Linked DNA regions of Drosophila melanogaster. The protein of the gene in region 1 interacts with the protein of each later gene in a pairwise test. Each region holds a gene or a part of one and is shown in the gene's direction. Other genes may lie near its edges.

What was found. The genes of interacting proteins can lie anywhere in the genome.
Region 2: the proteins of CG13022 (region 1) and sima interact in a two-hybrid assay, tested with the Drosophila melanogaster proteins (one large-scale study listed by BioGRID).
Region 3: the proteins of CG13022 (region 1) and Osi15 interact in a two-hybrid assay, tested with the Drosophila melanogaster proteins (one large-scale study listed by BioGRID).

The regions. Positions count from the first base shown.
Region 1 is NT_037436.4:16,936,268-16,942,947, reverse strand, and holds CG13022 (uncharacterized protein), read left to right. Parts: upstream 1-3,995; 5' UTR 3,996-4,005; coding exon 4,006-4,602; 3' UTR 4,603-4,618; downstream 4,619-6,680. Other genes in the region: Cpr73D (cuticular protein 73D), read left to right, coding at 225-352, 1,210-1,347, 2,131-2,312, 2,365-3,710.
Region 2 is NT_033777.3:30,059,282-30,067,857, forward strand, and holds the start of sima (uncharacterized protein), read left to right. Parts: upstream 1-3,640; 5' UTR 3,641-3,796; coding exon 3,797-4,257; intron 4,258-7,793; coding exon 7,794-7,981; intron 7,982-8,042; coding exon 8,043-8,272; intron 8,273-8,331; coding exon 8,332-8,553; intron 8,554-8,576. UniProt on the Drosophila melanogaster protein: Functions as a transcriptional regulator of the adaptive response to hypoxia. Binds to core DNA sequence 5'-[AG]CGTG-3' within the hypoxia response element (HRE) of target gene promoters.
Region 3 is NT_033777.3:6,298,151-6,306,089, forward strand, and holds Osi15 (osiris 15), read left to right. Parts: upstream 1-3,653; 5' UTR 3,654-3,762; coding exon 3,763-4,081; intron 4,082-4,641; coding exon 4,642-4,794; intron 4,795-4,852; coding exon 4,853-5,025; 3' UTR 5,026-5,503; downstream 5,504-7,939. Other genes in the region: Osi14 (osiris 14), read left to right, coding at 1,101-1,342, 1,809-2,014, 2,069-2,427; CG46396 (uncharacterized protein), read left to right, coding at 5,892-6,203; Osi16 (osiris 16), read left to right, coding at 7,120-7,435, 7,495-7,939.

The DNA.
Region 1 (6,680 bases):
ATCAGTCGTCGCCGTCGCGTTGTTCTAGCCGCTAGCTCCTCTCGAAGATCGCAAACCAAGTCGGAGTTTAAGACGGGTTCCAAGATCGGATTGGCAGACGATCGAATCGAATCGGATTTGTTGGGGGAATATAAGTTTATGTGGTGACTGTGCACCTGGAACAGGATGCCCGTTTGATACTTGTTTCATCTCTCGATTGGATTAAAACGAATGCGATTTGAATGATGTGGCATCTGCATCGGCACGCGAATTCCCTTTTGCTTCTCTGCGCAGTTTTAGGATACTTTTCGGATCCTGCGAGAGCCGAAATCGAGTACAATACCATCAGCGAGGATGGATCTTTTCAGTTTCGGTACATAGATGTGTGACAAACTATAGTGAACATTTTTAAAGGATATTAAGCACTGAAAAAAAAATTGGCATTATGGATTAAATGGATATGCATTTAATTGCAAATGCAACACCCTGTGACTCAAGAAATTTGATGAATAGTTTTTGTTACAATTGCAAAATTTTGAATTTAGTAAAATTTTCAATTTACCTAAAAATGCTTTAAAAGGCAGGATATTTTGACAGAAATTAGTAATTTCCTTCGTAATACGATTATCATAATACCTACATCGACTAAGATTTTTAATAGGATTTTAAAACTTCACAATAAAATTAATTCAGATAACATTGAAATTAATATTTTTCAATTTTCAACTCATTGCATTAGTCATCACAATAAAAAAACTTAACCAAATAACATAATTTACATTAAATAGAATAGAACTTTCATTGTCGTCCAATTTCCTTTTAAAAAAAGGATTAAAAGTAGTTAGTCGCTGAAAATAAGAAATAACCTTCCCCAATTGCGTACAAACTTAGCTGTTTGGTAGAATAATAAACCTTTTGAAAAGAGAACAACTCAATTACAGTTTTTTAGCAGCCATGGGTCATAAATCTAACAAATCATCTAATCGGTCAATGATGTCTGCTACCTTACCATCACCATTACACCCGAGAAAATTTGAGATTTTTAGCACCTCTTTAACGCCTCAACGTTTTGCAACCACAACAATAACACGCTTCCGACCATCTTTCCCTCTCCATTTCGCACGCATGGGGCAACGCAATTACTTCTGTTTCGATGGATCCCACCTGGCATGGATAATGGATATGCTGCTGCTGGTACTGCTACTGCTACTGCTTCCAATCGGCCAAAAGACATGCAAATGATGACATTGGCGGCTACTATCACAGCGCCTCGGGCACTCCGGACAACACGGTGCGAGGTCGCTACGGTTCGCGGAGTCCGGCGAGCGGGCAGATCGAGGAGACGGTCTACACAGCCGGACCACGTGGGTGAGTAATCGAAGACGGTAGCCAAGACTAGTGGGTAAAGTGCGCTGGTGCACTGCAAGAAAATAGTATCATTTTAGAGTGCATATGTGTGGAGAAAAATGCATTTAAAATTGATGATGTCAAAATATGCGTAAAAGAAAAACATAATTTTTAAAATATATGTATTTCAAATGTTTTTAAAAATAATTAGGCAACGATAAGTTCTGTGGGTATACATGACTCGAAGGTAACTTCCTTGAGGAAGGTCGGCGGTTTTTTCCTGAGTGTATTGGCCGCTGAGGAAGTGGCAGCACAAAGTGAGTTATCTCCCCTCGATGTCAGAGTTGAGCTCATATATCAGCGGTTGGCGGCAGGCGGCGGCCACTGAAGCGAAACCCAAACAAACGGAGGGGGATCCATGGAGTTGGAGCCGTTCTAACACATTGGACTGCTTTTTCTGGCGTTGCCTAAACGTTTTTCCATTACCGCTTCGGCGCTACTGTTGTTTTTTGCAATCTCCGGTAAATCGGGGGAAACAAAAAGCTGTTAACAAATTGACTGGCCTGAGAGATTCGAGCCAAAAAAAAAAGAGGAATGGATTGTAGATGGCAGATGCTCAACGATAGCGATGATTCTGAATGGGATCGTTCCCCGAGATGTGTAGTAATCGAAGTAATGGCGTGCCGGGCTAAGATCGAATCTATATTCAAAATTGCAGTGCAAGTCCGCTTCCGCTGAAAGGGTTTACCCAATCCCCACTCATTGTGTCGGTAGCTAATTAATCTCCCTCTATTTCCCACATAGATTTCGCGTGAACGGACCGAAAATCCATCGGAAAATGGACCTGGCTCAGTATCCGGTACTGCCGCGGGGAAGTCCGGACGATCCGCTGGCCGATCCCTTCGACGATCCATCCTACAGCTTTAGTTTTCGCACTCCGGATCAGTCGCGCAGCGAGGAGAATGATTCCGGGAATAGGATAAGAGGCGAGTTTAGCGAGTATGGTACTTAAGAGTATATTAACTGATTCTATCCCAGGTCTGTACTCCTATTTGGACGACGTGGGCGAGCGGCACAGTGTTCGTTATGCAGCTGGAGCCGGAACCGGATTCGAGATCTCCAACGCTGTGCCGGACAGCCCATCTGTTGTGGCGTACTCCAGTCCTCTGTACACGTCCCATCCCAAAGCACGCGGCAAGATGTCTGTGCAAAGGGGGCCGGCTGGAAGCTATAAGCTGATCGCCTCAGGTTCGGATCACCGACGGGCAGAAAGTCGAGCACCCGATGGCCTGGTGCGAGGAACCTACTCCTTCCTGGACGACAAGGGCGTGCAGCGGACAGTGGAGTATATAGCTGGAGCAGGAATTGGCTACCGGGTGGTGCAAAATCGGATTGGTCCTGGAACCCATAACAATCCCTCTGTGGCTGATTTTCGTTTGACAGATCCAGATTTCCGACTGGCTAATGATTTTGGCAGGGGTGCTGGTGGTGGCTTAGGTCCGAAGGGAGGTGGTGGTGGATCAGGTGGGGGAAGTGTTTCGGTAGGAGCTTCGGGGCCAAGTGGTGGTGCAGGTGGAGCGGGAAGGGGCCGTACTCCAAGCAGACCCGGAGGCAAAGATTACCTAAAGCCGGCTGATGGAGCAAGAGATAGGAATCGTGGAGATGGTGATGCTGGGGCAGCTGATGAAAATCTGGGACACCATGCTGATGACCAAGGGGATGACATTGGGCTTGGCAGCAGCTCCTCTGGTTCCACCAACTTTAATGGCAAAGAAGACAGAAGAGGGTTCCCTGCGGGTAGTCCGCAACGGGGCAGTACTAGATACGATGCCGGAGGTGACAGCTCTCAGAGAGGTGGTTCAGGTAGCTCCACGAGAAACAATGTTAGTGGGTCCCGAAACAGAAACCGATTCGGCGGCGTTGGTGGAGTAAGTGTCTCCTCTGAGCGGGGAGCAGGAAGGGGAGGTGCTGCCGGTGGTGGAAGCAGTCGTCGAGGAGGTGGAGCTGGAGCCTCCAGGGAAGGCGACTCCGGCCTGGGCTACCTGCCGCCCACAGGTGGATCGGGCACCAGTGCCATGAGCGGACCCGGGGACAATTACCACCTCAACGATGACGATGTGGGCAGTTCACTGCCTCCTCTGGTCACCGCCAACCACCGAATTCTAGAGATCGACAGGGATCGGGAGTGGGTGCAGCGACACCGCGACTCCACCGTCATCAAGAACGTGGGTAAATGGTACGTGGGCCTGCCGCCTGGTCAAAGTGTGCGTGCCCATGTCCAGAACATCGACATAATACCCTTGGGCGGAAGGATCGGACTTTCGCCGTCGGAGGCACTGCGTCAGGATGAGATCGCCGAGCTGAATGCCTCAAGGGAGCACTAAGCACCCATTGGATCTGTAGATCTGTAGTTTGTAGTGCGTAGCTCTAAGTGATCAGTGTTGAGTAACCGAAACTGGGTTGACTCCACATGGAAACTAAAACAGTATTTAAAGCGGAATACATTTTTTGCCTGTATCTGTATCTCAAACTGTATCTGTATCTCTAGCGAATAGTTATTTGATATCCGTGGATCCGGGTATAAGCAGGTTAATCTGCACATTGCGGTTTCCTTGAATCCACATATAACCCCATGACTTAGCATGCTCGGAGTTTAGTTGTTTCTGAGACTTGAACATGATGTTGGTGCTTTTCATTGCTTCGCTGATAGTTTCCTGTGCTCAAGGAGCGCAAGTGTATATGCAGTTCAATGGACAAGGATACTCCTACAACACGGATGGCGATAGATTGGATAGGAGTGTCGTTAAGCCTAGTTTTGGGGCATCTTCTCTGGATTCCTTTGGTCCGCTGAACTTTGTGCATCAATCTCTGAGGACAAGACAGAATCCACTTTCCCGGATTTCCTACAATACACAGGATAACCTAGCAGTGGCAACATCTTCGCTGAGTGCGGGCTACCAATTAGCATCGACCAACCACCTGAAGCACCGGCAAAGCCAGCAAAACTTTGATTTCAGCACCGACCAGATGTCGCATGCCCAGCACACCGATGAGGCGGGAAATGTTTTGGGCAAGTACTCCTACTACGATGAGGCTGGCTACCATGAGCTGAGCTACAAGGCGGGCGCCGGCATCGGATTCGTGGTCATGGGTGGCAATTTGGCCAAGGCCACCACCGCCGCTGAACCGCACTCGGAAATCGAAATCGGAAACGGAATCCAAACAAATGCCTTGACTAGCCTGCAAGAGTTGCATAAATATCGTGGCTACACGTAAATAAAATATATTAGCCAAAACTATTGCTCGTTCTACTTGGGTGTTTTGCGTTATTTACTGGAAGTCTTTGGAGATCTGACAGTGTCACCTGTCGTGTTTGAGACCTACGTGATCGGGGATCTGAACTGTAAACATATGTCAAAGAATGAATGACTTGTAAAACAGAGTTCATTCAAAGAAAAGAGTGCAGCTTTGCTTGGTTATAGAATGCAAGCAATAGTCAAATATTATCGAGAGCTCTGGATTTCATAACTTCTACGCGGCACAAAATTATCTTTGGATCGGAAGACATTATATTAACATTTATAAATAATGGTGAAATTAAAAAAAAAATGTACGTAAAAATAGATGTCCAAAAATGTATGAATTCTTTTTGTAATTGTAAATCTTGGAATATAATATTATGCTAAATAGGACGGTAGAAAGAATATTTTTCTTCATTTTAAAAAGAAACATAACTTGAGTTCCATAAAAGCGGTCATCGCATTAATAGAAAATTTTCTTGCCTGGACATAATTTTTAAACGTTTTACAATAAAAATGTTTGCATAAAGTAGATAAGGGTAAACATTGTCAGTTTCTGATCGTAAATGATTGTAAGAGCTTTAATTGCTTGTGGCGCGTGCTTTGGCACGATACAACTGCGGCGATTTATGCATGTTATAAACCCTAATTGATTTTCCGATCATAAAAATGGTTATATTCGGTCGCACAAAGTCATTTTACAAATGGACAGTGCATCCCAAAGCCAAATTGAGTCAGCTCTGTGGCTTATTTATTTTTGTTTGGGCAATTTCATGTCGGAAAGGGACCAAAATAATACAGCATTTGAAATGTTCGACGCGTGCGCGCACTTGCCAAATAATTTGAATCGAACGGAAAGCCTTGGCGTCCACGGCGTGGCCTAAATAAAATATATTTCTGGCCGCGCGAAGCCAAGAAAAGCCCATAAGCAATAATAATATGCATATTTGCTAAAACAAAAAGTTATTACATGGGCCAGTTTTGACCGAAAGTTTCACTGCCACAATTAAGTTTTAATGTCAAGAGATCTAAGCGAGTGATTTCCCTGAAACAAGTTCCTACGCACTCGAAAACTTTCTTCGCCGAATGCACTAAAAGAACGTACAGAAGAGCACTAAAAAGCTTGCCATAGCTTGACATAGATTCTATTCGGCCGGGTCTAGGGTTTGTATGGCTGAAATGGCCACGTTCTCAGCGTAGAAATCAATGGCTCACCTGGGAAGTAGCCGAGGTGCATAATTGGGTTAGCGTAGCAGCAGAACGGCCTGCATTGAAACCACAAATTACTGGGGCTCCGGCTCTCCCAGGTGCCAGTTAGCTGTTTCTGTTTATTTTCCCCCTCATAAACAACGGTTTGGGCTGGGATTCTCCTCCTCGCCGAAGGTCAGACTTAATTGGCCCGGGCCTAGGCAACGACATCCCACTAGCAGTCCCGTTTCGCCTGCATTTATAAATAGGCCCCAAGGTCTCTGGGTCTTGGGTCTTCGGTCTTCGGTCTTCGGTCTTCAACTTCTCGACTCGCTCTTCGGCTGCTTGGATTTCAGTTGGGGTTCGATTTATCGCCTTTTGATTGCTGCATTCCAATTGTGGATCAAGTGGTGCGTGTGGCGCATTCGGGGCTTACAACGTGTTGCTGCTAATTTCGTATGCTCCCTTCGGCTCTGCGCACTCGAAACCATAAATCTTGTGGCAATTTTATTGATGCCTGCGTGTGCCACAAAGGTCGACCCCCCGTTCGATGCTGCTTAATCAAGGAATATGCATTATTTCACAGCGCAGTCAGTAGCTGGCTGCTCGGGGCATAAAAGCCAATAAAAGAATAAATTGCAGTTGTATCACAGCAAAGTTAATCACAAAATTAATGGTTCTGGGCTAATAAAGACTGGTCTGCAATGAAAACAAATGACTTAAGGCACGAACCTGAAATCAATTTCTCTGATTTCAGACATTTGTTATTCATGATTATCGATCAAAAACGGTCCGAAGCTAAGTCTTAATCCTGACATCTGTTGATACCCGAGAAGTGTGTGAAGTCTTCACGCCGAAGTGCTTGTC
Region 2 (8,576 bases), on another chromosome or scaffold:
TTGCCATCCGCCGCTTCTCGCGTTTCTTCTCAATTTCCTAGTGCGTATGCGGTATTTCGTTTATTTTAACAATCTGGAATCAGAATGTTGATACATCAATGGAATCTAGTGCCAATCGGGAATCCCTTACGTACAATGTTTATTCGTTTATTTTCACAAACTGGACACCTAACTTACACATACATTTCAGTCTTGACATTTAATTTATATTTCCACTCTATTAATTAATTAATTATCAACATTGATTGATTTTCTTTCGTTGAGGTCCTCATGGGTTTCGTATGCAATCAGTATCTTATAGATGAGTCAACCTTACTGCCTGATTTTGAGCCAAAAATAAGAGCGCTTTTAACCCTTACGGGAGCGAATTGCATTTCACTTAATGAATTTCAATTCCCGCCTGGCTGGAATTTGTGAACTTCCCTCAATGGGCGTCACTAATTGACGAAACAGGCATTGGGATATAATGGAAAGCCAATCATTAATCACGCGTTCAACTAATTTTTGCATTCGCGGCAATTATTATACGATCGATGGCGACGGCGAATCCAATGGCCGAGACCCGCGACCTTCAGGCTTTCAAAGACAAAAGTCGAGACGAACCGAAATCGTTCAGTTTGCATATGCATGGTTGGTTTCCGCTGTGGAATATGATATCTAGGGGGTATACGATAGGAGAATGAGTGCCCATTGCGGCAAGAAGAGAGGCCTGAAAACACTTGTTGCTATCTTGAGAAGGTTTATCCTTAAAGGGCTCACAAAGACAAGCCCCCCCGTTGAATGCGATTTATTTTTAGACGAGTGCATTGTTCTCTTTTTCCTTACGCACTTATGGGTTATTTTTAAGTGAGGCGAAAACCCAAAACACAATGAGGAAAACCTGTTCGATTATGCTGCCCCCCCTGCTCCAAGATCAACCCGTTTTTTTTCCTCGTGTTTCGTTTTGTTGGCTTTGTTTTATTTTCGTTTTTGGTCCACGCCCCTCCGAATACTTAAATTTATTTATTTTATAAGCCCATAAACCGATAAGTTTATGTTTCACTCAAGACATTTACATTGGATTGAAACAAAGTTTCGCTTTGGCCTACGTGACTACCGTAAAACTGCAGTAAAATAAGTGTGGAAAAGCCGAAAAGCGGTTCTATAACCATTTTCAAAATGCGCTCTAGCTTCGATTAGACCCATTGACCGACAAATCGAGTCTTTCCCATTTGTTCCAAACTGGTTCCAATGTATTTTGCAGTGTGACACATGAAAACAATTGACTTAAGTCGTCTCACCATGTGAAATACGTCAATTTAGATTGTCTTATTGCATTTTCCCAAACATTTTGAACATCGATTTTTCCGATTGTTCATCGCTAACCTTTTGCCTATCGGTCGACTCTTTCGATTGCAGCACACGCGATCTTGAACAGATCGTAACTGCAGCTACGGTGTGACCTCAATAAAAGTGAATTATTACAAGTTGACTTGGTTGGCGGAATTTGGAGGAGGAAAGAATCTGAATCAAGATTTTTCATGTTTGTTTTTCTATTTACGTTATTTCTATAAGCTGTTAGGCCTGCGCCAAGAAGCTAATGAATAAACTTAAAAACAAGTCGGCAATAAATAAATTTCAATACCAACGCAGAGAAACGCACAAAAGTAAAACACGCTTACACACAAGCATGTGTGTATTGTAAAATATTTAAATGATATGCCCTGCTGTTGTTATTGTTGTTGTTGTTGTTGTTTCATGTCTGGCCACGACGACCTACTTTTTGCGCAATCGAACTAAAAATGTGACGATCCGGGGAGGATGGAAACGCCCGAGGGGGTGTTATGGTGCTACTACATATATATTGTATATGTAGGGAGAAAGAGAAAGATGGATGGCATTGTATTCAAGTATTAGGCTCGTGGAGTTATTGTTGATCTTCTCCTTCTTCTCCTTACATGCTTACACTCTTGCTTGCTACTGGAGCACTGAAAAAAATAACTGGTAATCAAATTTCAAATAGTAAAATCCGAAGTTCAGTCGCTCTCTTAGAAAAAGATAAATTAGTCTTACTGTACCATATTCAATATATTTGTCTATTAATTTTCTTTCTCTGTATGAAATTGAACTTGATGCAGCGAGAGAGACGTATATAAGCGGAGTGAGGGAGACAGCGTGAAGGTAGCGCAGCTTCCGAATCTTTTTCGTTTGTTCAGTTGCGTGTGAGGTCTATATGCATCGCATTCGGTGTAAGTTATGATTCGGCAATTGCTGGCAGGGAAAGTTTAAATTTATATTTAAGGCGATAAATTGGAATCAGTCGCTGAAAATTCCCCACAGGTTTTGTGAAATGAGCAAAAATTTCGGATTAAGATTATTGCGAAACCTGTTTGGAAGTCATTTTTTTGCTAACAACATTAACAAGAACAAAGGAACTTCTTTCTTGGGAATGGATAAGATCTTTACGATGTTCTGTTGTAAACAGCTATTCCTTTGGATTAAGTATTAACCACTGGTCTTGCCACAACTCAATGAACTTCTTACGACATCTTTCGAATTAATTGGTCGTCGTCGGGTGTTACTGTAGCAACCTAAAGGATTGACAGACCTTCTATAAGATAGTCCTTGAATGATGCAAGATGAGACCATAGCTAACGATCACAAGGACTCCTGGCAATCTGCAAAAAGAGAAGCCCAAGAAGCTCACAATGTTAATAACTACTTTTACTGTTTTTTTATATGAAATACATTTAAACATCGAAATAGTTTAGTGATAGACGGGTGTAGCATAAACAGGTAAACAAGGGGTTATCGTAGTGATTTAAGTTGACCCTGCCTGTTCCTTTGCCTTCTCCACGAGCTGATTACATTGCGATTTGATTACGTTTGCTTGGTCTGGGGAACTAGCTTCCCTTATCTCGTTTCACTTTCCGTGCTGTTTGCCAAACTAATCCAAATATTTAACTCCTATGTTATAGTTCTTATCGGCCGACTAGGGAAATCATGGATAAGTCTGATAGTATTTAGTCATCCAAGCAGCTTTTCTCGCACAGTGAAAAAGATCAATTCTCTAATATTTCTTCTCATTTTGTGTGTGCGAATTTTGGTTAGTTTTCGAAATACCTAAAAATGGTTCATCAGTTCTGCGGTTAAATACTCAAAATTTTGGAATATTATATCAAATTTTCACTTCGAAGTGAGTGGCACTGTTTTCTCGGTGCAGAGATTCTAAAATTATAACATGACTTTGCCGTGCACTGCACTTTGTGAGCGAGGGAAATGGGCGGAAAATGGGTCCTGGACGTGCGGAAATTTTCCGGCGTCGCTGCAAAGTAGACTATATGGTCCGAGCCAATTATCGACTGAAGTGGGGCGCACTGACATAATTTATATGGCTCTAATTTGAATCCGCCACTCACTCGATTCGCTGTTATCGTCCCATTGGGCAGAACCGAAGCGCTGGCTCCCTGCCACCTGAATGCTTCTACGAGGCGGGCGGACCGGACTTTATCTTATCACTCCGGCCGGAGCGCACTTGTCCGGATAGGCAAACTTGTCTGATAGCACACGGAATATGACGTTCACGTCGGCTCTCCGCTCTTTTGCGATTTTTTTTGGTGCGGCTGCCCAGGTATAAATATGATGGCTTCGAGGCTATGGAACCTTTCGCTCATTTAGCGCTCGAACTCCCGTACGTCGTGTTCTACCAAAATATCCGGAGCAGTGAAGTTGTGGCCAAATCAAAACACTATCAGCTCTTATCGCACGCGTGTGTGTGTTCATCATCGATGGGCTTAGCCGGATTCCAGCGCACTCAATGTTTAATTCCTTCGAGAGCTGCGATTTTTCGTGTACCGGCGACATTTCGTTCTACGGCGAAGATGTGATCCCCGGTTCTAGTTTCTACGAGTGCGATTCCAAGCCGCAGCGGCAGCGGCAGCTGAGCAGAAATGGCCCAGCTTTTGGGCCAATGCCCATCAATGAACCCACTGTGAACTTTGGCAACGGGTCATTCTACAATGGCCCTGCTCCCGGAAGCCAACCCTTCGTGGGCGCTATGCTCGGCCCCAATATGTCCTCCACTGGGATGCAAAGGTACCATCCGTACCATCAGCAGCAGCCCCAGGACGCCTTCTATCGCCAGAGGGGATCGCTTCTGAACGTGGCCACGCCCTGTCGCGAAAGCCGCCCCTGGAGCTACGCCTACTGCTATGGCTACGCGCCCACGAACACTCAACCTTGCCAGTTCTCCCAGTTTGTCGACATCGAGGATTTCATGTGAGTGACGACCAAAGTGGTTGGTCAATTTGTTGTTTTGGGTAATTCTGTGATTTTGCGTTTTTCACGAAGGGTATTCCTTAATCTCATTATCAAATAGTATTCAAGTACGAATATTTACACAATTTTGCTTAATAATTGTTGTTACATAACTGTGGAGAGCTCTAGCTCATTCAAGTAAACAAAACAAAAACCAGTTAGAATCGGTGGCCGAATGCCGCTAGCGATTTACATTTTCCTGGAGGCACCTGAACGAGCTGAGCTCCTAGAAAATTGGCCGTGTTCCATTGTAAAACCCGAGCCGAAAGCAAACGGCGCTGCACTTATCTATGCTTATTTGTGAATCGCTTTTATAATAATATTTAGATACGCAGCAAAAGATAGGGCGAGGGGGACGGAACTATGGCGCGAGAGAGGTGTCGTATGAGTCAAGGTTCGGTGGGTTATTCCCAAGAGAGGTACCGTTTATAAGATTGTGGGCTGGAAAAGACTTTTTCTCTCACTTCGATTGTTGCGTGGAAATAGTAAATTGCTTGTCAGTTGTGCTGTTGTGTAATTGTTATCTGCCGCCGATGATTTTATGTGGGGTATTTCCCAAGGAGTTATCGTTAGGGGTCTGCTGAAGGTTTCACAATCCATCTGGTTGATGTATACGATTATCTGGCGATTGACGCAGATTACAGCCCCTTTCCCTGGACTTCACCTCCTTGAAAACTTTGCATGCAACGTGCGCAGCAAGCAAATGTTTTCGTAATGGTAGTCGGATTTGGTTTATTTACGTTTTGCACACGTTTAAGCCAAATTCGGCTGGCCCATCTCCATGCTAATGAGCCGAAACCAAACTGACGCAATTGCAGGACGGCGCTGCCCGAAGAACTCCACCCACAATATGGTGCTCCCAAGAAGAGACCAAACATCCCTGACCCGCTGTTGCGCCTCGATTTACTGTCCCATGAACTTGGCATTAGCACTTCGAGTCGTATTTTATGTGTTTTCGCTGATATCTCGCCCGGAGATACGGCGCACTTGGAGGTAGCTTGGCCAACATTTCGCAATGCTCGCAATTCAAACTCAAACAACAGCGGGTCAGTATCCTAAGGTGTTGTCGGATAAGCCAGCAGGACTTAGATGGCCACGTGCGGCGATCGTGGTGTTTGCATATTCAAACTCATTTCATACACAAAGTGCGGAAAATGGTATCTTAAGATCAGCATACTACATCATTATAATCATCATACGGAAGGGTAGTACACATATTAAGGTGTGCTTTCAATATTATAGCTTAATTTTGTTCAGTGTTTTGAGCTGCTTTGGAGCGGAAATACTTAGCAACAACAACAGCAGCAGCACCAGCGGCAATAACAAGGCAATTCTGCTGGCGCAGGCAGAATATTTAACATGCCGTACTTGCCTCTGTTCTAATGAACAGACAATGGGGCCGATCGAAAATATATATATGTATGTGCATACCTCCCAAACCAAAACCCCACCCCCCCGGCGAATATCCCACCATTTAAGCAGGCCATTAGCATGCAATTCAAAGTCACTCTCCGCCGCTTTCTATGGGCCACGAGCTAGCAACTATCGGATTTGTGTTTATTAATGCATATATAATATATATAGAAATCCACGGGTCTACGCCTATATTAGTATTCACTTTGCTGGCGAAGTAATATAATACTATATAATAATTATTTGAGCAGCCATTCGAGTTTCGCTTCAAACTTTGGTTTCCATCCATCAGTTGGTTGATTGACAATGAAAAGCCCTCTTATCTAAACTGGTTTCTGTTTTATTTATTTTTGATTTATTTGAATGCATTGTTTCTTCACTTTCACAGAGTTTCCTAATCAACGTTTTATCTGGGCGTTCAGAATACTCTTTTAATAATAGAAATTCTTTCGAGTGCAAAGTCAAGTTTAGCATTTGTTTATGTTAAGATTTCCTCTGTTTACAATCGATCGATTAGTGGGGTCCTATCTCATATTTAAATATGTCATAATAGAAGATTATGTTCAACAACTAAGTAGTTTGCTTCGATTTATTCAATTTATTTACTTACAGTAAAAGAAAACGGGAATACTGTTTTTAATAGATACTTAAGCCATTATTAGACAGGCGGCAGACTGACAATAGATCATATTGTACTGTGACTTTGTCGGCTGATATGATGGACTTTTGATGATTGCGACTCCTCCGTTGACAGGCGGTACTTAGGGTTTGTTAACAAAAAAGTTTGATATTTTCGCGTTGTTACCGGGCAGATTTTCCCAAGTGAACCACCTGACGTGTTCAGGTCTTTTTTCATCCCAGCGGATCAATAAAGCAGCGTTGGCAAATTTTGAACAAAATGCCAGGAAATAAATGTACATACGTGCTGAAATGGGCGTCACCCGTGGATTATACAAGTTCGCCCACTATATCGATAATAAAGAAAATATTAAGAGCCACGAGTTATGTTCTTGCATGCGGCTACTCAAGAGATTTTCTTGGCAGACTACAGTTTTTCCGCAGTCCCGCGGGAGGGCCATCCGTCTTTTCTTAGAATTTCCCGCAATATACTCGTATTGGCATAAAGATAGTGTCAGTCGTGTGTGTGAGGTCAGTGCTCTGTCGTCCTACAAGTGTGTACGATCGATTTGCCTGCTTGGTTGCCGATTAAAACACGTCGCCAATGTAGACGAGTCGATACCCAGGGTTTAAATGGGACTTACTCATCCAGCGAAGACAACTAACTCTGCAGAGTCGCTAATTGCCAAATCATCGGTGTTTTGTCAATCCCCTGGCGAAATATTCCAAAAGACCACCACCACGAAAATTGGTGCCAAGGCAACTTAGCCACTTTTTATCAGTGGAACGTGTGACTGCCGGCTATTCTCGGAATCCGAAACAGACGTTATAAACTATCTAAGTCCCCGGGCTCTTCTGCCAGCTCGGAATGCACAGGTATCCATCCCAAGGGAGGTCGTCTCTGTATGTCAGGATCCTCTAGGCAATATTGGATTTATTTCGAATGTTTTTTAAGACTCTGTAGATGAGGAATGCGTAGAAATTCCTTATCAGCATCGTTGAAAAGAAAAATACTTTTACAAAGTCGCGACATTGAGATTCTTTTCAGATATGAGGCTTTATTAGAATTGAATATAATTTATTGTTCTGCAGTAGTATTTTGATTACCAGCATTTACTTTGATCTTCATCTTTATTTATTTATTTGTTATTAGTTAGTGTTTTTCGAAAAGACGGCTAGGAATAGCTGCCGAGAACTTTGGCGCCGTGTCGATCGACTTTTGTTTTTTCGCTCGACCTGGCAACAAACGCGAAAATTACAAGCGTTTTGCTTAATTGAAAAATTGCGAGCTCTGGCCGCGTGAATTGAATCAGAAGCAATCAAACGGGTATAAAAGTGCAGCCATGCAAATGCACGCATATTTCAGGCAGCCTCCCCCGTGCTAGATCCCCCCTTTTCCCACTGATCATTGGCGTACGTGCTCGTTTTGAGCTTATGCTAATTTTCCATCCGATCGATCTTTGCAGGAACAATGAAAAACGCAAGGAAAAGTCTCGCGATGCGGCTAGATGTCGTCGCTCCAAGGAGACAGAGATATTCATGGAACTCTCGGCTGCTTTGCCATTGAAAACCGACGATGTCAACCAACTGGACAAGGCCTCCGTGATGAGGATCACCATCGCTTTCCTCAAGATTCGCGAAATGCTGCAGTTCGGTGAGTTTCCCTTAGGATGTGAAATCTTTGTTAGCACCATCTAATATATTACTTATTTCAGTGCCCAGCTTGCGCGACTGCAATGATGACATCAAGCAGGACATTGAAACTGCAGAGGATCAGCAGGAAGTCAAGCCCAAGCTGGAAGTGGGCACTGAGGATTGGCTCAACGGAGCTGAGGCCAGAGAGCTCCTCAAACAGACCATGGACGGATTCCTGTTGGTCTTGTCCCACGAGGGAGACATCACCTACGTGTCCGAAAACGTAGTCGAGTATCTGGGCATCACCAAGGTAAATGTATCCAAATACTTCATTGAAGAAGATTCTAACTTGCTCTCAACTTTGCGCAGATTGACACACTTGGCCAACAGATCTGGGAGTACTCGCACCAGTGCGATCACGCCGAGATCAAGGAGGCTCTCAGCCTAAAGCGTGAACTTGCCCAGAAGGTCAAGGATGAGCCGCAGCAGAACTCTGGAGTGAGCACCCATCACCGGGATCTGTTTGTGCGCTTGAAGTGCACCTTGACCAGTCGTGGACGAAGCATCAACATCAAGAGCGCTTCGTATAAGGTGAGCTAAATGAGTTTGAGACA
Region 3 (7,939 bases), on another chromosome or scaffold:
CACTAAGGTTATTTATCATTCTGTTAGTGCAAATTCCTTTCAGCTTGTTATATAAATTCTCAATGACCTCCTTCTCCATCCACACAGCCCTTTTAACTTTCAATTATTACAACATAGACACATTAGCCACACAGTCCAGTTCAATCATCGAAGTGCTAAACACTATTTCACCATATCCCAACAATAAAAAAACAACTACGGCAAATAAGACTGACCCATTTAATGCCGGAGAAAGAGAAAAACACATTTTTGCGTTCATAAATGGGCTGCGTGAAATATACGGCAACCGGATCGGTTAAGAAGCGTCAGTAAATTAGCAAATATGTGACTTGGCCATTGCGAGAGTCTGATGAAAGCTGGGCGCAAACGTGAAGCCGAGGGCTCAGACCACCGGTAAACACCAGGGCCCCAGCTTCATTGAAGGCGTGTCCGTGGGGACCCAAAGCACCACTTTTTGGTTTCAATAATCTGAGACTTTTTAGGATTCAAGACAGCCCAAGGAATGCAGTTATAAGTGATACCGTGGACCACCCCGGTTATGTAAGCCAGCTGATTTTTGTCGCTGTGCAGACCTAAGCCAATGGGCCGACTGTTTACTCCAGGGCGCCCCTTTTTGGCCAATGGCCAAGACCAAGACCAAGTCCAAGTACGAGTTTCTCTCTCCGCGACGCCAACGTTGACGGATGACGACGTCGCCGGAGCGGCGCTGCCGAAAAAAAGGCAGACCGAAATGAACATGTTCACTTAACAAACAAGTTGACTTTGTTTCCCCGCCGTTCTCTAGATTTATGCGGCTGCGTCTGTGACTCTTTTTTTGGGCCCTGTCTCCAATTCGGAGTTCGCTCTTTTCGCGTCTTGGCCATAACTTCCGCCGTCTCTCGCCGGGCTTTATTTAATTTACTTTTGAATTGTTTTGTAATGCGCACCGACTGCGACGCCGACCGAGAGGCCCAATATATAAGGCTAGATGTCCGGAGACGCATACATCAAACTCATCTCAGCGCTCCCTCAGAAAAGCAGCAGCCCGAAGCCCAGAATTGAAACCCCGGATCAGCTATATTAGCAAGGATTAACCGCGTCTAAATACCAATCGATCGAAAATGAAAGTGTTTGCCATCGCTTGTGTGACCCTCTTGGCGGCCAGCTGCGTCTTTGCCGCGCCCAGTGTTCAAGACAACCAGGTCGAGGGCGACAATACCCTGGGCCGGGCCGCCCGGTATCTGGGCGCCTGTCTGGAGAGCGACGACATGGCCACCTGCCTGGCCGTCAAGGGCATCACCGCACTCAACCGCGCCGCCAGGAGCAACAACATCGAGCTGGCCAGTGGAGTCACCTTCCAGAGGTGTGTGTTTTTTAACAGTGAAAGTGCCTGGTTCTTGAAACAAAAACCAAATCGAAAGCGAAACTGTAACCAAAAGAAGAACGTGCCCGAGATGAAATCTTCAATCCGTGTTAGTTAAAGTAGTGATTGCATCACAAAAGTTGACTAGGAAAGATACTTAAAATGAAATTATGATATCAAGATATGTAGGCAATTAAAAATAAGTTTAGAGAAATTAGTTATTAGATAGTTATATTCTGATACCCATTTTTTATGGTCTTTATAGATTTAAATGGTGAGCCAAGGCTAAGGCTAAAAACACTTCATAATTAATGTTAATTATTATTGGAATTCTTACATAATTCCAAAAATTATGACAGTAAATTTAAAAGTGGTATAATAAGACATTAGAGGCATTCGGCATATAAGTTGTCATAAAAGTTAAGTAAATGTGAAAATGTATTTATAACTTACAATATCATTTTAGGGATCCCGCCAGTCCCGTTTCCCGCACGGGAAAATCGATGAGCGAGCAGGATGTCTATGCCGAGCTGCCCCAGAATGCCGATGAGCGTACTGGTCGTCTAGTGGATCTGGCCGTCTCTAGTGCCGCCGACTTCCTAAGCACCCACAACCTGGAGTTCAAGCTGCCCGCCGAGACCACCCAGCAGGTGGCTCGTGCCCTCGATGAAGGTGGGTTTTGACTTGGGATACGATAAAACATGGTTACCTAACATCCAATCACAGGCCGTGGCAAGATCAAGAAGATGCTGGGACCCGTGGCTCTGGCCATTGGCGCCAAGCTGTTCGCCGTCATTCCCCTGGTGCTCGGGTTTCTGGCCCTGCTGACCTTCAAGGCCGTGATCGTGGCCAAGCTGGCCTTCTTCCTGGCCATTCTGGTCGGCGGATCCCGCCTGCTGGGCGGATTCGGCAACAAGTTCGGAGGTAACTCCTTTGCCGGAGCCTACAACTCGAACGCATGGTCCGCACCCGCCAGCGCCGGCTGGAGCTCGGGAGCCTCCTCGTCCTATCCCTATGCCCGCAGCATCAGCGAGGATGGGTCCGATGCCCAGCAATTGGCCTACGCCGGCCAGCAGCAGCAGTAGAAGCGGCTGGGAGACAGCTCAAACAGATGTGCCTTCGTTTTGAAACCTTTAGCCTGTAGTAATTTATTCGAAATGTAATTAACTAATTTATTGACACACCACGCACACATCACCCGCAAGTCAAGTCGAATGTATGAATAAAACCAAGAGTATTGCACCCGAAAAAAATATAATCCGCAAATCCACGCACGTGGACAGTGCTCACCTGTGCCCAGAGACTTTCCCAGTTTCCCAGGGCTTAATTGAAATGCTGACAGACCCCAAAACAAATATGTGGAACTTTGCTCGCTGGGCGGCAACAAGTTTGCGGCTGGCAATTAAAACTTGTGGCAGGTTCTGTTTCTGAACACAAAAAAAAACCCAAAAGAACACAGAAAATGTTGAGAAAAAGAGCTGATAAGCTGGGGATTTAGTTTTTGGCAAGTTGGTGGCCTGCTCATAATTGGAGTTTCTAGTGGCCATGTGACGGCCGTTCGGCATGTTAATTGTTTGCCAGAAACTTTCTACTTATGCTCATAAAAGTGTCACTTTGCGATTGAAAAGAGATATATGCGGCGATGTGCTACAATTCAGCTTTCTTTCACAGGCAGATTTAGAAGCAATTGAAATAGAAAACAAGCCACGAACGACAGTTGACAAAGGGAGAATGAAATCGAAAGCGTTGAAAGCGCCAGAGTAACTAACTGGGCCAAATTGTGCATTAAGTCACCACCGGCGGGGCATACCAAATACGTGTGGGTCTCGCAGATCCACCACTATATTCTCCGCTCCATCGTGAGCCCTGATGGAGCTAATGGAGAGGAACAACCGGCCAAGAATCTGGCGCAGGCAATCCCAACACGTAGCACCGGCGACTCCATTGAATGCCAATTAGGATACGGATAACGGTCGAGCACCCGAAATCGGGCCACTTGCTTATATAAAATATATGTATGGTATATACAAAAAAATAATATTCAGCCGGCCGACCACTGGCCACTTCCCTTTCGTTGACATCGCGACGTGCGTGGAAATATGGTCAAGAAACTGCCGGCCAGGTAGCATACGCATATGCTTTGCATAAATTGCTTTTGGATTTTTGGTATTGCCGTTCGGTATTGTTATTGTTATTGCAGCGGCGAGCGGTGCGTTTTGGATTTTTGGCCTGCCACGCGATTTCTAGCCACAAAATTGGTCAATCGACGTCAAATCGAAATGGTATAAAACGCGGGGGCAGTGCATTCAATTAATCACAAAGCGATTCCCGTTCACATCGGCAGCACTCACCAGCTCCAGGCAGCCGTCCCACGGATTATAACCTACCCAAAGTCAAGACACCCCCAAGTGCTAATAAAAATGTGCGCGAAATTCGTATGTGTAGTGCTGCTGGCCAGCCTTGTGTGCGGTTCCATGGCCCTTCCCTCCCAGGACAACACCGAGCGGGACCTGGTCAACATGCTGAACCGCTTAGACAGCGAGGAGTCCGTCGCGCTGTTCGGCGGTCTGAGGATCGACCGGTCGGAGTCGGGCCGTAGCTTCGGTGCATCCAAGGCCGTCGAGTCCTTCGAGGACCGCGCCGAGCGCTACCTGGAGACCCACGAGCTAAACCTCTCCTTCTCCGGCGATGAGCAGGACGAGAACTCCGAGAACGAGTACACCGGACGCGCCATGGATGGTGAGTGATCTTGGTTTCCTTTATTTGAAAAACAGAATATAGTTTAATCCAAAGAAAAAAAAGCTATTTAAGCTACTTGCTTTTAAAGTTTTCATATTGCGTTGAATATCTTAGATACTTAATATTAGGTCAGAATTTAAAAATTTGTATGTTTTTGAGAGACATAAATCGATAGAATGGTAGTAAATACGTGAGTTGATAGCCAAAGAATTTTGAAATAATTTTAAACGAGTTATAAGTTACATTTTTATTAATTACTACAAAAACAGAGGCATTCGTGCGCATACGAGAATAGCTTTGGTAAACCGTCCTGGCTCTCAAGTCGTTCCTGTTCTGTACGGTAAACGAACACTTCAAAGTCTACTTACTAAGGCTAAACGTACTAAGGTCCACTCTGCTGTGCAGAAAGCCAACTGCCAAAAGCAAAACTACTAGCATACTCAGTTGTGCTGACGGGAAGCGAAGTGAAAGCTTTACCTCGACTGCCAGGCCTTGAATACTTTTAGGAGCATGGCTAAAACCCCGATTTCTCTTTACTTTCTCCCTCCCGGAATAAACAGAGTCCCGCAGCAAGCGCATGAAGAAGATGCTGCTGCCCCTTCTTTTGGCCCTGAAGCTGAAGAAGGCCGTCGTTGTCAAGATTATGTTCACCATCATCAAGTTCATCTCGCTGAAGGCTCTGGCCATCTCCTTCCTGGCCCTCATCCTGGCTGGTGAGTTTACTTTTAATGATCTCAGGAATAGCACTTTTTACCCACGTTTCCCGCACAGGTGCCACCTTCTTCAAGGATCTGTTGGCCAAGAAGAAGGAACACATCACCACTGCCTACATCACCGGCAGCCCGCTGAACGCCGACATCGTGCACTCCGACTGGAGCCGCAATGGTCAGGCAGGTGCCGCCGATCTGGCCTACAACCACTATGGTCTGGCCCAGCCCTTCTAAGCCGGAAAACACCCACCGATCCATCCATCCCACTCTGTACTAGCCTCTATCTTTCACCTGCTATATCTTATCCTACCAAAGCGTCTCCCTTCTTCAACTTCCCCCCACTTCATCACCATTTCCACAACCTATCCCTCTAAGACTTTCCTGAAGAATGGCCTAATTCGTAGTCAATAATTATTTAGTTACATTTAGTTAGTTAGCTGCGACATACCAAAAAAAATCACAAAAAAAGAGAACTATTGAAACGGTCCCTCGACTCTTGGCTAGCCCAAAGGACAATGCTTAAGGATACTACGGCCAATCAATGATTGCGCCATAATTATTGCACATTTCCCCATCCACATGTCTCTTGGCGGTCGTACATGTCACTCAGGTTCATCGAAAGCAACGAAGATTATGCCTGCTAAAGAGCTTACTTACTAAGTATTTATTCGTACAACTTAAAGCAATTGAATAAAAATGATTCATCAAATGCAAAACCATAGAATCTTTAAACTTTTTGCCCGAGTCGGAAACTTTGGAAATGTACAGGTATTATACTTTTAAAAAGGCAATGACTTGTATAATTTCCGGCTCAAAGCTTCCTTATTGAGTCTCAAAGGTATTTTCTGAAAAATCACTAGGAAGAGTGTGAGCATCAAGCTGGAAAGTGAAATTAGTGGCTTTTACTTAAACACTTTCCTTGAACCTCTTGCAAAAACAAATCCATTGAAGACACATTTCCACTTAATTATATTAGCAAAGTTGAGTTTGGGCCCGTGGCTTTCTTTGCGTCAACTTCCTAATTGATGTTTAATCAAATGTCCCACTTGGCGTTGGTATAAAAACACCACTCATGCTGACCAAAAGTCAACAGAATCAATATGAACGGCTTAAGCAACAAACTCATTGGCTGTCAGATTAAATTCGCCTTGATTGTTGGCCTTTTGGTATCCTTGGCCTGGGCACTTCCTGTCGAGGATGATGGAAAACCCCTCATAACTGAAGATGATGCTGTGAACACCGAGCAGCCAATCGAAGCTGCCCCTGTGGTTGAGGAAGTGGAAAATGTTGGACAGCTCCGATTCCCGCCTTTCAATAACAATGGAACCAAATTGTTCGAAAGATTTGGAGAAAAATTCAGGAACAAGTGGACCACAACTACAACCACAACGACACAGAGTACATCAGGATAAGCTTCATAAGAAAAATTAAAAGGATCAACACACAAAAGATTGTCACATACTTCACATAAATATTTATTTAAATTCATTTTATTATGCCCGAAATAACTTGTCTTATCTTTACAATAAAAATACAACGTATAAAAGCATATAAGAGTATGTTGAAAACAATATTTTTGTCAACAAAAATGTTTTAATAAAATTAAAAACACTGTTTTTAAGTGAGCACTGTAGTAGTCTAGTAGATTGCATAATCGTTCCAAGCACCCACTATAAGCTCAGATTGGGAAATAAGACACCTGCTAGGCAAAAAGCGAAAATCAAAAGTCGACCAACCAATTGGTCATTAGCACTGCATGTAATCTGAATATTAAACAGGTCGTTCTCGGCGTGGAAAGATAAATTTCTTCATGGCCAATACGAGGAAAGAAAGTAGCGAAACGACGCTGGGTCAGACACAAATGAAAATGAAGTAATAATTAACAATGAGTTGTTAGTTAGTCCCAGTTAGGCAGGCAAAATGTTGGGTCTTAATTTATGAAGGTCCGAGGCACGCGACGTTTATCAGGCACTTGTAATTACCTGAACTCCCGAGTCTGGGAGAGTTTTCTTCTCGGACTCTTGGGGAATTCATTGGCTGGAACTTTTGGTGACAGAATTAGCCGGCCGTTTCGCAAGACCGACCTCCGCTGGCGCAGAGGAAAGCGAAAGTGCCGCCCAGTTGGACGCAGCTGACTGACGCTGGGAAGAATTTCGACCACAAATCGTTTGAGTAATTAGAAAAGCACAAGGGCCCCAATACGGACGGAGTACGGTTTGGTGAAAGGGAAATGCGAATGGAAACCGTGGCAGCGGGTATAAAAGCGAAGGCCTTCAAATCGAGATGATGCAGACTCACAAACAGTCTCCATTGCAGTAGATAGCGAAGATGTTGCTGACCAAGACCGTGAAATATCTTTTTTACTTGGCCTTATTCGCCTTCATGTGCAAATATGCCACGGCTGCCAGTGTCCAGCCCACCGAAGTGCCTGCAGTTGCTCCGGAAACCATTAGAATACCCCAAAGGGCAGAGAGCCTTCTCAGTGGCTGTGAAGCATCTTCCTTCAGTTGGATGTGCCTCAAGATCGAGTTTGTCAAGATCATGGAAAAGCTTGCCGAACAGGAGGAACTAAACGTTTTGCCAGGAATCAGCGTGGTCAAGGATGAGAACGCCACCGAACTCAAGACATCGGAGCTCATGGCAGGTATGTTCTTGAAAACACAAAAATAAAGACAAAAAATTTTAACTTTCGACAATATACAGAAGTTGCTCGCAGCTATCCCAGTGACCCGAGCACTCGCTTGAATGGCTATATAGTAGCCAAACTGGAAAACCTTCTGAGAACGCGGTTCCTACGATTTCGCCTGCTGGATGACAAGTCCCTCGTAGAAGGTCGCAAGCACAAGTTCGGCAAGAAAGGAGGCTTGGAGGCCCTAGTGGCGGCTGGAGTCATGATGAAGGGAATGCTTATGGCCATGGGCCTCGGGGCCATCGCTCTGATGGCCGGAAAGGCTCTGATGACAGCTTTAATGGCCTTGACCCTGTCTGGAGTCCTCGGTCTAAAGAGCTTGGCCGGTGGCGGGGGAAAGTCCACCACATACGAAATAGTGGCTAAACCAATTTACACCTCCAGCCACTCGCACTCGGTCACTCACGAAGATGGAGGTCACTCCCACAGTCCCCACTTTGCCGCAGGAGGTGGGGGTGG